Linked DNA regions of Mytilus edulis. The protein of the gene in region 2 purifies or fractionates together with the protein of the main gene of each other region. This does not show direct contact. Links are inferred from orthologs where the notes say so. Each region holds a gene or a part of one and is shown on either strand. Other genes may lie near its edges.

Evidence for each region.
Region 1: the proteins of hsp70-binding protein 1-like (region 2) and erythroid differentiation-related factor 1-like purify together in Homo sapiens (affinity purification with mass spectrometry; 3 studies listed by BioGRID and IntAct, counting the BioPlex papers as one, with this or other methods). This does not show direct contact. The link is inferred for Mytilus edulis from reciprocal best matches to the Homo sapiens genes HSPBP1 and EDRF1.

The regions. Positions count from the first base shown.
Region 1 is NC_092347.1:49,866,772-49,874,437, reverse strand, and holds the start of erythroid differentiation-related factor 1-like, read left to right. Parts: upstream 1-4,377; 5' UTR 4,378-4,490; coding exon 4,491-4,514; intron 4,515-7,642; coding exon 7,643-7,666. UniProt on the Homo sapiens protein: Transcription factor involved in erythroid differentiation. Involved in transcriptional activation of the globin gene.
Region 2 is NC_092350.1:18,199,922-18,207,385, forward strand, and holds the start of hsp70-binding protein 1-like, read left to right. Parts: upstream 1-4,284; 5' UTR 4,285-4,621; coding exon 4,622-4,747; intron 4,748-6,672; coding exon 6,673-6,838; intron 6,839-7,464. UniProt on the Homo sapiens protein: Inhibits HSPA1A chaperone activity by changing the conformation of the ATP-binding domain of HSPA1A and interfering with ATP binding. Interferes with ubiquitination mediated by STUB1 and inhibits chaperone-assisted degradation of immature CFTR.

The DNA of each region.
Region 1 (7,666 bases), on a different chromosome or scaffold from region 2:
GCGTATTTATACATCCTGCACAGCCAAACGGACGACCAACATTGGCTATTCGGGTGAAGACAAAGTGGAAAGCTAGTTGAAAACTAACAACAGCTAATTAAAAAACTCATGTGTCTAAGTTGAGGTTTATTCAAGTTTTTGTTGATAGTCTAGAAGTGAAATGATCTAAACCAAAGTTCTAGTTTATAGTTTCTATATAAGGTAAAATCGTAAAAACATTCAATTCTAGCCAATATTCCATTCACTAAGGACGAGAGACTAGTGTACACATGACATTCGATAATTAAAGAGTTTTGACAACTTCATCTACAGATAACGTTGTTTATTATTTTTTTTAATAAAAAAAAAAAATATTTGTGAAAAAATTATGTGTAGGCACGTGCCTAAAGTGCCTAACGGCAGCTACGCCCCTGGGCGCAAATGAAATATGGTTTGTGACGCAAATGAAAGATTTCTTTTGGCGCAATTGAAATGCCAAAAGCAAAGCACCGTTTTGATTGGTTGATTCTTGAGTCTGAGTACAAAAATCGTGCTCTAAAGTTTTATGACCGCAAGGCCTGGTTTCGGATCGTGAATCTAATTAATTGTAGTTTTACTTCAAAATCTGTGAAAAATCTACTGTTTTTTTTAAAACGCGGAACAAATTTGGAAAAAATAATTACGTCTGTCAAAAGTATTCAACTTTTTAGATAATACTAGTGTGCAATAGGATAAAGAGGATTAAAAAAAAACACGTTTTGCATATATAATGATCAACGTTTTGCATATATAATGATCATATTCCAAGATATAATGATATATTTGGTGTGTCAGATAGTACAGGAAAATGTGAGATTTTCCCCCTTGAAACCGTTCATTTTGTTTTTGAAAACATTGAAGTTTGTTGGTTTTTCATCAAAATTGATCGTGAAAGATCCATGGGCAACGCATTTTCTTTATCGTGAAAGACAAGGCGTATGAAGGTTGCGCTTTTTAACCTGTAACATTAGTTTAAACATATTTTATTGTCCAAAAACATTGACAATAGGATTAGACATAAAAGGACATTTGCACTTCAAAAACTATGGGTATTTGCCATTGAAACACTTCGGGCATTTGCGCTTTTTGTTTTAGTTGAGTTTAAACATATTTATTTATGAGGGGGGATAGGACCTTTATCGGGACTCCGGGATCGGGTGTTTTTAAGCTCGGGATTTCGGGATTGACCCTTTCGGGATCCGGGAATTCTTTTTTTAGGATTTCGGGACGTCGGGATTTACTTTATTCAAATTCGGGATTTTGGGATTTCATGTTTTTAAACTCGGGATTTCGGGATCAGGACCCCTCCTATCCCCCCTCATTTATAGTGGATTGGGAAACAAGTTTTGTAAATTTATCCCTTTCCACTTTGCGGGTGCGAGTGCTGCCTTGTAGCGGCATTAGCCTGCTCTTTTTCGAACTCTACAAGGGTGTCTTTAACGGTGCAAGAGATATGGCTCTCTCTTAACACGGGTCAGCCATTTATCGTCCCCTTCCGACGGACTATCATCGTTTCCTCTTAACATACTTTCAAATGGTGTCAAGGGAGAGTAAAAAAAAGAGTTCCTGAAATTTTCATCCCGAACTGGATTTTTAACTTTGCGCTTTTAACTTGCTTTCAATTGATACACCTGAACAAGATAAGAAATGTGTAAATTCATTTTCAGAAGAAAACAGTATGGACCATAAGGGAGCAACCATTTATCTTCAAAAAAAGGGAGGGGAGGTATTTTTTTGTTTTTGTTTAAGTAATATTTTTTTTCACGCGAAGCGATTCAACCATGTCAACGTTTCCAATATAAAAAAAATCAAAATTTAAGCATTTTACATGAATGTATGGCTAGGGAAAATCTGTTGGATTAAATTTTTGTTTGTCCTCTGCTTGAAGAATATTTTTTGTTTCAATTTGGGAATAAGAACATTTTTTAAAGAGAAATAACATATCCCCCCTCCCGCCTCAGTTTGATGTTCGATGGTCGTTCCCTAAACATCTCGTAATTAATCATTTTATCCAAGACAAAAACTACAGTCTTGTTAAGCATTTAAGGTAGCGCCTTCCTCATATTAAATCTAATCTAATATGAGAATTTTAGTCAAATCGGTGAACATGAATTTTACAGCTATTGTCCCTTTAAAATGCTTTTGCAATAAACAAAGTCAGGGGCGTGTTTTATTGGTCTTGCCAAGAAATTGCCTCCGTTGAAATTCTGCAAACACCCCATAGAGCAAATTACATGGATGATTAATTTTGACCATTTGGTATATGGCCGTGTTCTAAGCGACACGTACTTGAAGGTCATACATTAATTTCTTGAATGAAATCAAATCTTTAGCTACTAATGACTGCCGTTGGGGGTCGACCGGAATTTTTAGCGAGGATTTCTTGGCATTATTCTAGTTGGCTGGTTTTGTGTGTGTGTCTCGTACCGATCTTTTGAGTTAATTTAATAGCAACTGATTTGTGCAGGTTATTTTTATATTGTACTATATATCTTTATTCTCACAAACCAAATTACAAAGGTATAGAGATAATTATACATATTTCAATACAATTACATAAATAAATAATGTACGAAAGTAGATAGAGGCATTTACAATTGTTCACCCAGAAAAGTTCAATTTGTTATTGATCTCCTTAATAAGTTTACATAGTTCGTTCAGTTCTGTACATTTTTTTGAATTCATTAAGTCATAAAACTTCAATGTGTTTGGTCCATTTCTATAGCAAAATGCAATACATTGTTTTCTACAGTTATCAAAAGCTGAATAATTAAAAAATATAATGGTATTCATCACCAATGGCCTCTGAATTACACAATACACATTTTCTGTTTTCCCTTTCTATGTTTTGCCATCTTTTAAATAGATATAGGAAGATGTTTTGTGAGTGCCAATCAGACAACTCTCCATCCAAATAACAATTTATAATAGTTTGTATTGGAAATTTCATGTTCAAAGTTCGAAATTAGGATATATGCCTGTCATTCAAAATATTTAAATATTTCTCAAACTCCAAAGTATCTTTAAATAAACGATAATTTAATGCTTTTGGTGATTCCTGTAGGTTTGCTAGCCATTTTTGTTTGCTACACTATACGGTTTCAGCTTCGGGGAGAATTGAGCGCTCACAAACATTTTGTTGAACTGTTACACCACTGTCCAATGTTAAGGGATGGTTGGGATCCGCGGCTGACATGTTTAACTCCGCCACATTACTATATGTATGTGCCTGTCCCAAGTCAGGAGCCTGTAAGTCAGTACTTGTCGTTTGTTGCTGTGTTACTTACTTGTCTTTCGTTCATTATTTTGTACCGTTGGTTAGGTTGTTAGTTTTCTTCTTTGACTGGCCGATTGTTTGAACTCATATTTGATATTGTGTAAAAACAATTGTTATGTATAGTTTTTCATTTAAATTGTTTCACACTTTTCATGGCCTTTTATAAACGGCTTTACATATGGTATCGGGTTCTGTCATTGTTGAAGGCCGTTGCCTATAACTGCTTACATCCACCATTTTTGTCCACTTCATCATTTGAACTCCGGTCGAAAGTTGTCTAATAAGCAATCATATCACATATCTTTGTTTTTATATAATTATATTTCTCGTGTTTTCTTCAGGTATGCATGAAATATTTATCACTGGGCGTTAAAAATTAGAATCAATTTAAACTTGTGTTAAATAAGAGAAAAACATCAGATAAATCAGTATTAATTTGATGGGGTTAGGGAAAATGAGGATTTCGTATATGAATATGGTTGCCTGGTAAGGGCTGAAAATAGGCTTGATTAGCGACAAATTAAAATGAACAATAATTAAGACCCATTGGTGGCCTTCGGCTGTTGTCTGCTCTATTGATGGTCGGGTTGTTATCGCTTTGACACATTCCCCATTTCCTTTCTCAATTTTAATAATGAACTCTTTCCTTCCTCATTCCTCATCTATTGATTTAAACTGAGCACTAGCCAAATTATGAGTGTTGAAATTAGCGTTTAACACCAATAAATCAATTCAGAGATGTCCTACTAAGGCTGTCGTACCATAAAAACTTTTCAGTATTACACAGCTCACATTCTAACTTATATCTACTTTCATAAACTAATTAATGTCATTAGTTTTGTGACTCTGTCGTATAAACCACCTATTAAAAAAGAAGAGGTGGAAGAGAGCCAGAAGATCTTCCCAATGCAAAAAAAAAACAGAAAAGGACCTCTTCTGGTTCACTACCGAAGATAAAAAAAACACGCCCCGGCTGCAGGTTCATTAGCAAACAGGAGTATTTTTATACATTACAAACGAGTTATACCTTAATTTTCATTATCTTTAAAACGTTTAAAAGTTCCAATATACACCATCAATTCAAACACTTTAATGATAGAGAAGATGATAACCTCCCTTTAGTTAAAGAAATCGGGAAATTTCCAGACTTAGTCCGAAATCTTGAAACTATAAGCCTAAATAATTTCTGACTAAAATGCAAAACACAGAGAAAATTAAGGTAAGACTACGGGAACGAGATCTGCTGAGTTCTGCACTCTTAAAGTTCCCCCAAGTGTAGCACAGGCAAATTTTATATTTGTTTCTATCCATAGGTAGTCCACAGGAGTTTGAAATCCTATCAATAATGGGGTAAAAATATACCAAACTCGACTATCACAGTAGAGATTCTGTCTCTTTGAGAGAAGCTCTACTGTGAAAACTTCTGTGGGAAGTCCGAGATTACTCTGACGTCTAACGGCTGTGTTTCAAGACAAGCTGGGGCCGTGGGACGTCAGAGCTGGTCCCATATTAAAAAGTGGATATTTGCCTGTCCAAAATAGATGTGCTGCTTCCTCCCTTCTGGTGCCAACTGTTGGCCTTGGCATTATATAGATCGGGTATCAATTCTTTCATTTTTCATTTATCTCTTCATTAATGAGGGGGGATAGGACCTTTATCGGGACTCCGGGATCGGGTGTTTTTAAGATCGGGATTTCGGGATTGACCCTTTCGGGATCCGGGAATCCTTTTTTTCGGATTTCGGGATGTCGGGATTTGCTTTATTTAAATTCGGGACCTCGGGATTTCGTTTTTTCAAGTCCGGGATTTCGGGATCAAGACCCCTCCTATCCCCCCTCATTAATGTACCTGTCGCCCTTTAATTTCTCATACATATGTAATTAGACAGTTTTCACAGTGACCCATCGATTCAGACATTTTTACTTTTATTTTCAAAAGGACGTCAAGTTACGAGAGACTTCATGAACTCGAGACTCAAATATGCAAATATTTATCATGTTTATACTTTTTCACCTCCTTCATAGGACAGGAGATCGATATTAAGCATTTAGTGCCAACCACAATAACAATCGGAAGCTCTCGAACATTTTGATAACTTGCATCGTGAATGAACGAGGTGTTAGATATTGGTCATTTGCATAAATCGTCACTGTTTTCTCGTGGTCACGTGATAATCTTTGAAAATAAAAGTAAAAATGTCTGAATTCTTGAGATTCTTTGATATGCTTGAATCTAAACATGTTTTTGATAATTGGGCCAGTTTTTAATGAGGTCCAAAGGGTCCAAAATTAAACTTTGATTACATTAAAAATTGAATATATGTTTTTATACGACCGCAAAAATTAAAAAAAATTTGGTCGTATATTGGTATCACGCCGTCGTCTTCTTCATCAGCGTCATCCTAAGATGAATGGTTTCCGGATAATAACTTTAGTATAAGTTAATAAAAACCAATAAAAATTTTACACAATGTTTGTTACCACAATAGTAAGGTTAGGATTGATTTTGGGGGTTATGGTCCCAACGGTTTGGAAATTAGGGGCCCAAAGGTGCCCAAGACAAGTATTTATCTAGTTTCAGGACAATAAGTTGTGTATAAGTATTTTAATTGCTCTGATATTGTACCACAATGGTCATACTATAAAGTAGAAGGTTGAGATTTATTTTAAGGGTTGTGTGGGCAAACAGTCTAGGAATTAAGTGCCAGAAAGGGGTCAAAAACAAGCATTTTTGTAGTTTCAGGACAATAACTTATGTATAACTGTATGGATATCTCTGACTTTGTACCACAAGGTTCCATATAACGAAGGGAAGGCTTTAATTTAGTTTGGGGTTAATATCCCTGAACATTTAGGAATGAGGGGCCAAAAAGATGCATTTTTCTAGATTACAGGCAAAAAATTGGGTTTAACTGAATGCCAGAATGGATCTCTCTTTAATTATGCTACAAGGTTTCTTACTACAAAGGAAAGGCTGGAATTGAGTTTTGGGGTTCTTGCTCCAAGGTGGGAGGCGGGTTTCTGAAACTTTCAATAAGTGAGGGGTCAAAAAAGAGGCCGAAATAAGCATTTTTGTAGTTTTCAGTCAATAACTTATGTTTAAGTGTATAAATCTCCCTGAAATTATACCACAAGTTTCCATACTACAAAGGGATGGATATGGGGGGTTATGGCTCAAATCATTCAGCAATTAGGGGCAAAAAAGGGGGAAAACAAGGGTCAGGGTGTCTATCCATATCGGATCCTTTACACGCAATTCAGCGGTACATGGCTCCTTTGTGAACAGATAACGGATCCTTGCCGTAAAAACAACGTGATGTTGTTAGAAAGTTATGGATGACAACAAATCAGAGAGGTATTTTGTGTTAAATTCTTAGTTCACGGAACTTTAGAATGTCAAACTGATCCACTCTTCTTATGACTATAGATAGTTTTAAGAATAACAGGCTATTTTTACAAGAAAAAGTGGGCAAGTGTCTCACATAACCTTTGTTTTTTCCAAAAAACAGCGTTTTATGCATGTTATTTCTGTCAATATGGATTTGAATAAACAGTTCATCATTTTTTAATTGCTCATTTCATTTTATTGAGTATAAAAGAGTATACAATAAGCTCCAGATAGAATTAAAAGACCGTGTTGGAAACGGATCATAAAGATCCGTTGCCACAAATTTTATAACATTTTGAACTAATTTCAGAAGACTGAACATTAGAATTTCGGTAGATTGTTTTACCCAATAAAAGAACGTCAATTTCTAATACAATTCAGTACTTTTATCAGCAAAAACAGGGAAGAAATGCTTGAAAGTCTGGAAAATGTCAACATCACTTCGCAATTTCATACAATTGCACTCCCTTGTTTCAGTGATTATTTCGTAATCATACTAGCTAACGAAATAAAATACATCTATATACTTACCTTGATAGTTGGCTTATTTCGCCTGCTATTTGTTTTTTGTTGACCAGAGTGTTTAGACAGAATAAAACACAATTTTAAAGGAACGTTTAGGTTAACTCACCTTATGTTTACGGCAAGGATCCGTTATCTGTTCACAAAGGAGCCGCGTACCGCTGAATTGCGCGTAAAGGATTCGATATGGATAGACATTGTCAGGGAATCAGGATAGATGTGGCAACGATAGGATAATTAAAATTCCTTACATATTTTTAACAGTATCAACTAAAAACTCTTTGGAATGATTATTTAACAATTGAGTTGGATGAAGTAATAAAAGTATATCATGTACATTTTCAACAGATTTGTGATATCAGTCTTTTGTTTTGAAAATGATAAAGGCTTATATGTCATGTATGTGTTCTATATAAACTAGTCTATTGTTATTTCTAGACAAAAGGAAAAGAGTTGGTAAAA
Region 2 (7,464 bases):
TAAGAAATGGGTTTCGTATTTAAATGAATAGAAACGGAATAGAAATATAATATATAAAACTATCACTGACAATATCAAATGGTGCAGTATTGCGAGGATACTTCTATTATATATAAAACCGTATCACTGACAATATCAAATGGTGCAGTATTGCGAGGATACTTCTTTAATATATAAAACCGTATCACTGACAATATCAAATGGTGCAGTATTGCGAGGATGCTTCTTTAATATATAAAACCGTATCACTGACAATATCAAATGGTGCAGTATTGCGAGGATACTTCTATAATATATAAAACCGTATCACTGACAATATCAAATGGTGCAGTATTGCGAGGATACTTCATCTGTTTTCACGAGAGACTGTTTTGTTGAGATCTGTTTTCTCAACTGTTTCATGTTGATTCCTAAAACCTTTCTGTGGTATAACTACTAAAATATACTAAGTTACTATTGAATTTGTTGTTGTAGTTTTCTATGATGTATATAGATAAATGTACAATTAACATTGATAATATATACGTGGCTATTATCATTTTTTTAATATTCTCAGTGAAGAGACAGGGGTGAATATGTATGTTAACCTTGAATCATCCATTTTTAAAGTTGTCTGGCTGTTTAGATGGCAGCTCTCAGTGCCGCCTACGTTTGGCATAAGACAAGATAATTCGCAAAGTTTTATAACGACCAAAAGGCATTGCAATCTTCCAGCACAGACTTTCAGATTTATTTCCCAAAGCTTTAAAAGATTTTGTAAAACCAAAGCTATGTTGAGGATTTAAAAGATTCTGCAAAACCAAAGCTATGTTGAGGATTTAAAAGATTCTGTAAAACCAATGCTTTGTTGAGGATTTAAAAGATTCTGTAAATCCAAAGCTATGTTGAGGATTTAAAAGATTCTGGAAAACCAAAGCTTTGTTGAGGATTTTAAAGATTCTGTAAAACCAAAGCTATGTTGAGGTCTTAAAAGATTCTGTAAACCCAAAGCTATGTTGAGGATTTAAAAGATTCTGGAAAACCAAAGCTATGTTGAGGATTTAAAAGATTCTGTAAAACCAAAGGTATCTGAATGTTAACCTAGAGTTTTGTTCTGGGTGTAGAAAATATTTTGAATCACCCTCTCTCTTCATTTACACCCCGACGCTTGGATTTTACGAGACCGGGTTATCGTAGTACTTACATGTGCATTATATAAAATAAAAGTTGTTACGTCATGTCTTAATTATAATAAAATGTATTTTCTCGCCGATAAAGCGATTGTTTAACTTACGTAAAACGAATAATTAGTCAATTGATTTCATGTATAGGGAAAGTTGCGAGGAATTTTTTTTTCCTGTAGTAAATATGTAATTGATTTCGAAACTCCTTTAACTGCCTTGTGGTACAATCCAATAAAAGAAATTTATATTCACCCCTGCTTCTTATGTTGTAATAACATTGCGTGGGATTAATGTTTTGTTGCTTATTGTCACTAACCACGTAGGCGGAAACTCTGATAAAGTGATACATTCCCCATGTATCTGCCACTTCGAAAATTGTTTTAGATTGTAGAAATAAGACATCAAAGGCATTTTTCACAAATAAATATTTAATTGAAACAAACAGTAATAAGTTAGAACAAAATAAATACAGTAGTACAATAAATACATAATTCACAATGTATATATATTACAATATTAGATACTAATAATAGTTTTCCAATGCACTATTTCGTACAAGCAGTCAGTAATAACTTAAGTCATGATAACACAATTTGATCTTTGTGTTAAGTCGTTGTCGATGTGCAGTCGAATGTTGCTCAGTCAGTTTCTGGGCAAACACTGGGCATGACTGGGTTTAATGTTCTTCATAAAGATTGAAGCACCGATGCCGTCATCTGTCCCTGTACATCTGCTAGTTTGTAGAACTCAATCCATTCACTTTATACCTTTTAGTTAAAGCTGAACTTGTTATTCACAGCATGCCATTTTCTAAACCATATGAGATGACAGCTCCAAGCACGACCAGGAGGAATATGGAGAAACCAAATACAAGACCAAGCCATACACTCTTTCTTGATGTCCTCTTTACTGTCTTCAGTGTAACAGTCTGTAAAAATAAATAAAATGTTAACAACATACCCCATTTATCTTTATTATGTTAACACCATAATCCATTTATCTTTAATTGTAAGATGTATGTAAACTACACACAGTCATGCAAATGACAGTGTGTTTGACATTGATTTGGTATTTAGATATTTAGGAAAGGCAGTATAAATCAATCTTTATATCATCTATAATACAGAATCAGCAATAAAAATCAGAAGGAGAAATAGAGTTACAACTTTTTTTAATTTTGCGGTGTGTTTGTGTACGTTACGAACTAGGAATATATATATATATGTTTTCCTTCCTTGTCCATATGAAAGTCAGTCGCAGAAACAAACAAATGCGTAATATCTTATCTCAAGACTAATTCCGCCTACTTTTTTTTTATATCTACAAGTGCATTACATGTATTTGTATCTAACTGACGATAGAAGCGACATAATAAAAGTGAAAGATCAGACAAGAAAACTGCTTCAATAATTTACAATCTTGAACTTTATACAATTGATCCTTTTCATATTTTTTTAAATAATTTTAAGCTAATCTGACTTACCGTAGATTTATAGACTGGTACATTTGCGTAGTGTCTGTGTGGGTCTATGACAGTGTAAGGAGGTAGGTTCCACTGGTTCTGTGAACAACTGGTACATGATGAGTTGTCAGACATCAGATGGAAAGGAGGACTTTGTTCTGAAGATACTGTGGAGTATGTGTCCGATGGCCTCAGAATACGGCTTTGCACACAGCTACCAGAAGTCGTAGAACAGTCGTCCATAAAAAGTGCCACCATACCACTTCTGTCCACCTTCATGTTGTTCTTTCTTGGAGTACTAATAACTGGGACGCGGTCGTATACCATCTTGTTCATTTTCTTTTGTGGAATCTTGTTAATTGTTGTATTGTACATCTTTCTATCTTTATATTATGAAACTGTAAATCAAAAATAAGATATTAATTATAATTTATATTAATTATAATAATTCTAAGACCAAAACGTCTATTTACAAAAACATTTTTTTTTAAAATAAACCATGTGTAAAAATGCATTAGAACTAATGGTCAAATTGATATGCACTAGCTTGATAATATATAAAATTAAAATTGAGGTTATTTTGAACAGAAATTCACAAATAAAAAATAAATAATCATCATGTCTTTATTAAAACCCTCCAAAGAAAACTTATCCCTCATAAAACTCTTACCTTTCTTTTAAACTTTCTTTAATATTCGGGAATTATTGAATGTTTTAATATTTGTTTGACGTTCTTTTATAAACGAAAGACAGTTGTGACTTAATTGGATTATCAGACTTTTGGACGACTTTTTTTTGAGATATGTCTGTCTGCTCTAATAATACTTTGTTGTAAGGGGTGATAAGTGAGAAGTATACTTAAGATGTTTTGATAACATTTGATATCTATAATTGAGTTCTTTTGTTGATACCTTTACTAATTATGTTGTAAACCTGTACTGATAATGATTAGATTAAAATTGGATTGGTTTTGTTTCTTAATAAGATTTGAATGTTTGTTTACTTTACAATTAAAACTAGAGTAGAGTTTCATTTCCTTATAGAACTCCACTAGAATGGCACGTTACAGATAGAGTATATAATCTTCAATTACTTTTTACAAGGATTTGTATAGTCTTACTATACAAATCCTTGCTTTTTATAAAATAATTTAATGAATGATTTAAATGCACTCTTTTTTTTTAATGAAAACAAAGCTTTATTTATGAACTAATTTTACTTTTTTATCAAATGTCTTCCCGTAATTTTTATTTAAATCAAACTTGAATTCCCAACGATTGATAAACGATTGGTGTATTAATTTGGTACTACTGTCTGGTATCTTTGGTGAGTGTTTTTCTTTCTTTCTTATTGATTTTTTCTTTCTTTCTTTCTTTCTTATTGATTTTTTTCTTAATTTTTAATGCAAAGAGGTCTCCTCGATTTCATCATATTTATTTACTATTCTATTTTGATATCTTTTTATTTGCACATTTTGATATTACAAATAAATCATTACAGAATACAGGGTACAATTAAATAACGCTTAGGACTTGTTTATTGACTAAACGAAAGACTATATTCTTATTCATTATTTTATTAATCCCTTCATGTAATAATTTTATGTTTCTTGTGGTATGGGTGAATGCGTAACAAGTTCGAATATATTGACTATGTTTTAGATAACCCTATTTCCCGGAAACACCAAAACTAATTTTAGAATGTATTCCGGAATATCTCAATGTGCTTTTGGAGAATTTTCTACAATTTTCTAAACTATATTTAAACTTGCCTGAGTCATTTCTGTTCTAAAAGAGAAGCATATAAGTAAACCATATCGATATATGTTCCGTGAACTTACTTGTATCCGATTTATTCAACAGTAGTTCGAAATTTTAGAGATTCACTTCGACTGAAGCAACTTAGCCAACTATTACTTGTATATTGATTTGCTCACATTTTGTGTCTGTTTATTGCTGTACCTTACGTAAAAATTGTTGACGAATAACTTATTGAAATGGCCAGTGGAGATGGTAAGGACCAGAGGAATCCAAAAGATATGAAAGCATTGTTGAAATTCTGTTTGGAAGCAACAAAGGATGAGGATGCAAAATCAGAAGAATTTGCTCCTATGGATGAAGAGGTACATGTACTTGTTTATATAAATACTCTAATATGGAGACAGGTATAACATTTGAAAAAGGATGCTATAGGCTATAAAAATAATAATAAAATTACCTTAATCAAAGTAACCGTAAAATGACACCATGATTATTTTGAATCTTTATTTTCAAAGTCCATCAATTAATGATTGAGGATCTCCCAGATTGAACAATATATCAGGAGTTTCTCTAAGGATGGACAGAATCTGTATGTTATTTTATGTAAAGAATCTGTAATCTGTAGGGATTTTGAAGGCAAGATATTATATTTGGTCATGGCAGCCCTGGTTTCAGCAGTGAGTCAAAGAAATTTTATTCCTATATGTTTGTTTGTATTTCAGTCTCCACATCTAAATAGAGAAGTGAGATGATGTCAAGTTAAGGTTACATGTATACATGTATTTAAACTTTTACAATAAAATGGTGATATTTGGGATCGGTTAATTATGTTGATAAATTACCTGATACAGCATCTTTGGACTCTCCAGTTTTGAATATGATGAGTCCAGACAGATTTTCAATAGGCCAGAACTCATGAACTCTGCATAGTTAGAACCCTGCAATAGATAATCCATATAACTAAATTGGTAAAAAAAATTCCCACCATATATATGATATCATGATTTATATACATGTACGAAAAATGGGTGGCTTAAAAATCAATGGAAAAGGTGGGGTGTACATGTAGATACATTTTTGTGTACATGCATGATGCATGTACCTACATGTACACAAAATTGATGAAATGTGGAAAACACCTAAAGCAAAAACATTAAAAAGTCTCAGTCAAAAAATATTTAGCAAAACTAGCAAACCTGCAGGGTACTAGAAAATATTCATAATTCTTTATTCAGTACAAATCAACACTTAATTATATAATAACCAGGTGCAGTTTAGGTGAGGTTGAAGATGAAGTTTATTGATATTTAAATGAAACATTGGCAATCCATCATTAATATTTGGATTTTAAAATACAACAACAAAAAATTATTAAAAAAATCTGGCCTTTTAAAAACAAAACAGAAATTTAAATCTCTATTTTACCCTAGAACATTTATTATTTGGATACTTTAAAAAATTTGGGAGACCAGCAAGGAGCATACATCAATGTACATGTAAGAAGAATTATATATTCCCATTATTTTGTGGTTCTGTCCTTTGGTCATCACTTCTGTTTTATGATATCATGTAGTAGCTTGATATATCAATGATGTTTTAACTTGAACATGTTGTAATGATTTGTTTCCTCTCAAGTTTTGTGATTGATATACTTTATGATATATTTTATTTGTATTCTGAAAGGAATTTTCCTGTTAAGCACTGGTTCTTTTTTGCATATGTATAAAGGAATGAATAGTTAATTCCTAACAGTTATTTGTTCATGTGACTGATATGCATTAGGAACATGTACAAATGTATGTACAAAATTCAAATATATATAATAATAAATAACCTAGGGACAGACAATTTTACTTTAAAGTGGAAAACAATATCCTGATCCCTATTTGATGGAAAAAAAATTCTGTTCAAGTAGATGACCAAAAAAAATATTCTAATTCCAGATTTTCCCCATACCTCATAGTGTTAAATTTTTGAAAAACTAAATAGAATTGTCATGATTGTGCACAAATTTTTTTCTGACTCTGCCATAAAACCATTGGCATACCCCCTCCCCCGAAGTGAAATGGTTGCTTCCTAAAATTTTAACAAATTCTATTTTTAAAAAAGTGCTACAAGTACGTGACCACTGCTATTACAAGATAAATATTTGAGACAAAAAGTAATTAAGTAAGGTTTATAATTGCAGGGCTGAAAGTATAAATTTTGTTTTATATTTTATAATTGAAATTAAAGATTTCCAAATACATATATGCTAATTTAACTAATAGAGTTATAATATTGACAGAGAAAGAAATGGTTAGAGCAGGCATTGGTTGGCATGTCTGTAAGTCCAGTACAAAGAATGAGGACATGTATTGAATGTTTGAAAAACAACCAAAGCAGTGATGAAGAAAGAAGTCAAGCTATGGAGGAACTGATTGAATGGGGTGAAAATATGGATTATGCCACAGGTAAACCTTATAGAAAGTCTAAGCACTAAAACACCTTTTCTTCTGATTGGATGAACTTTGACTTAATTGCCTGCTATCATGCATGCATCTATAATACTAAAATTACGAGGTCCAATTTGTCAGCCATCATCACGTAAAAACGACGAATCAAAGAATTCATCTTTATATATAACTAATATAGTACAAAGGTGTAGATTAAAAATTACACCACTCCAGGCCCTTTTGTTTTCCACGTAATTAATATTGCCAATAATTAAGAAGTTCCGGGTCAAGTCCGATACCGATACCAATAGTATATTCACGTGTTACCTATTACCTTATCTGTACGTTCCGCATCTAACAGGTGCACCACCAAACGGTGTATTTAGGATTATGCTATATACATGTACACGGATCATAATCACAGGGTTGACACTACTAAATTCAATCATTGTCAAATTGTTACCTATTGTAGTATTTTAATCAGTAAGACTTTCTAAGATAACAATACGAATACTAAAAATCTGGACTTAAAATAAGGTGTATATAGGAACCGTTTTCAATTTGTTAGCGGGCATGTCAGTTAACTGCTAGTAGTCTGTTGTTATTTATGTATTATTGTCATTTTATTTATTTTCTTTTGTTAC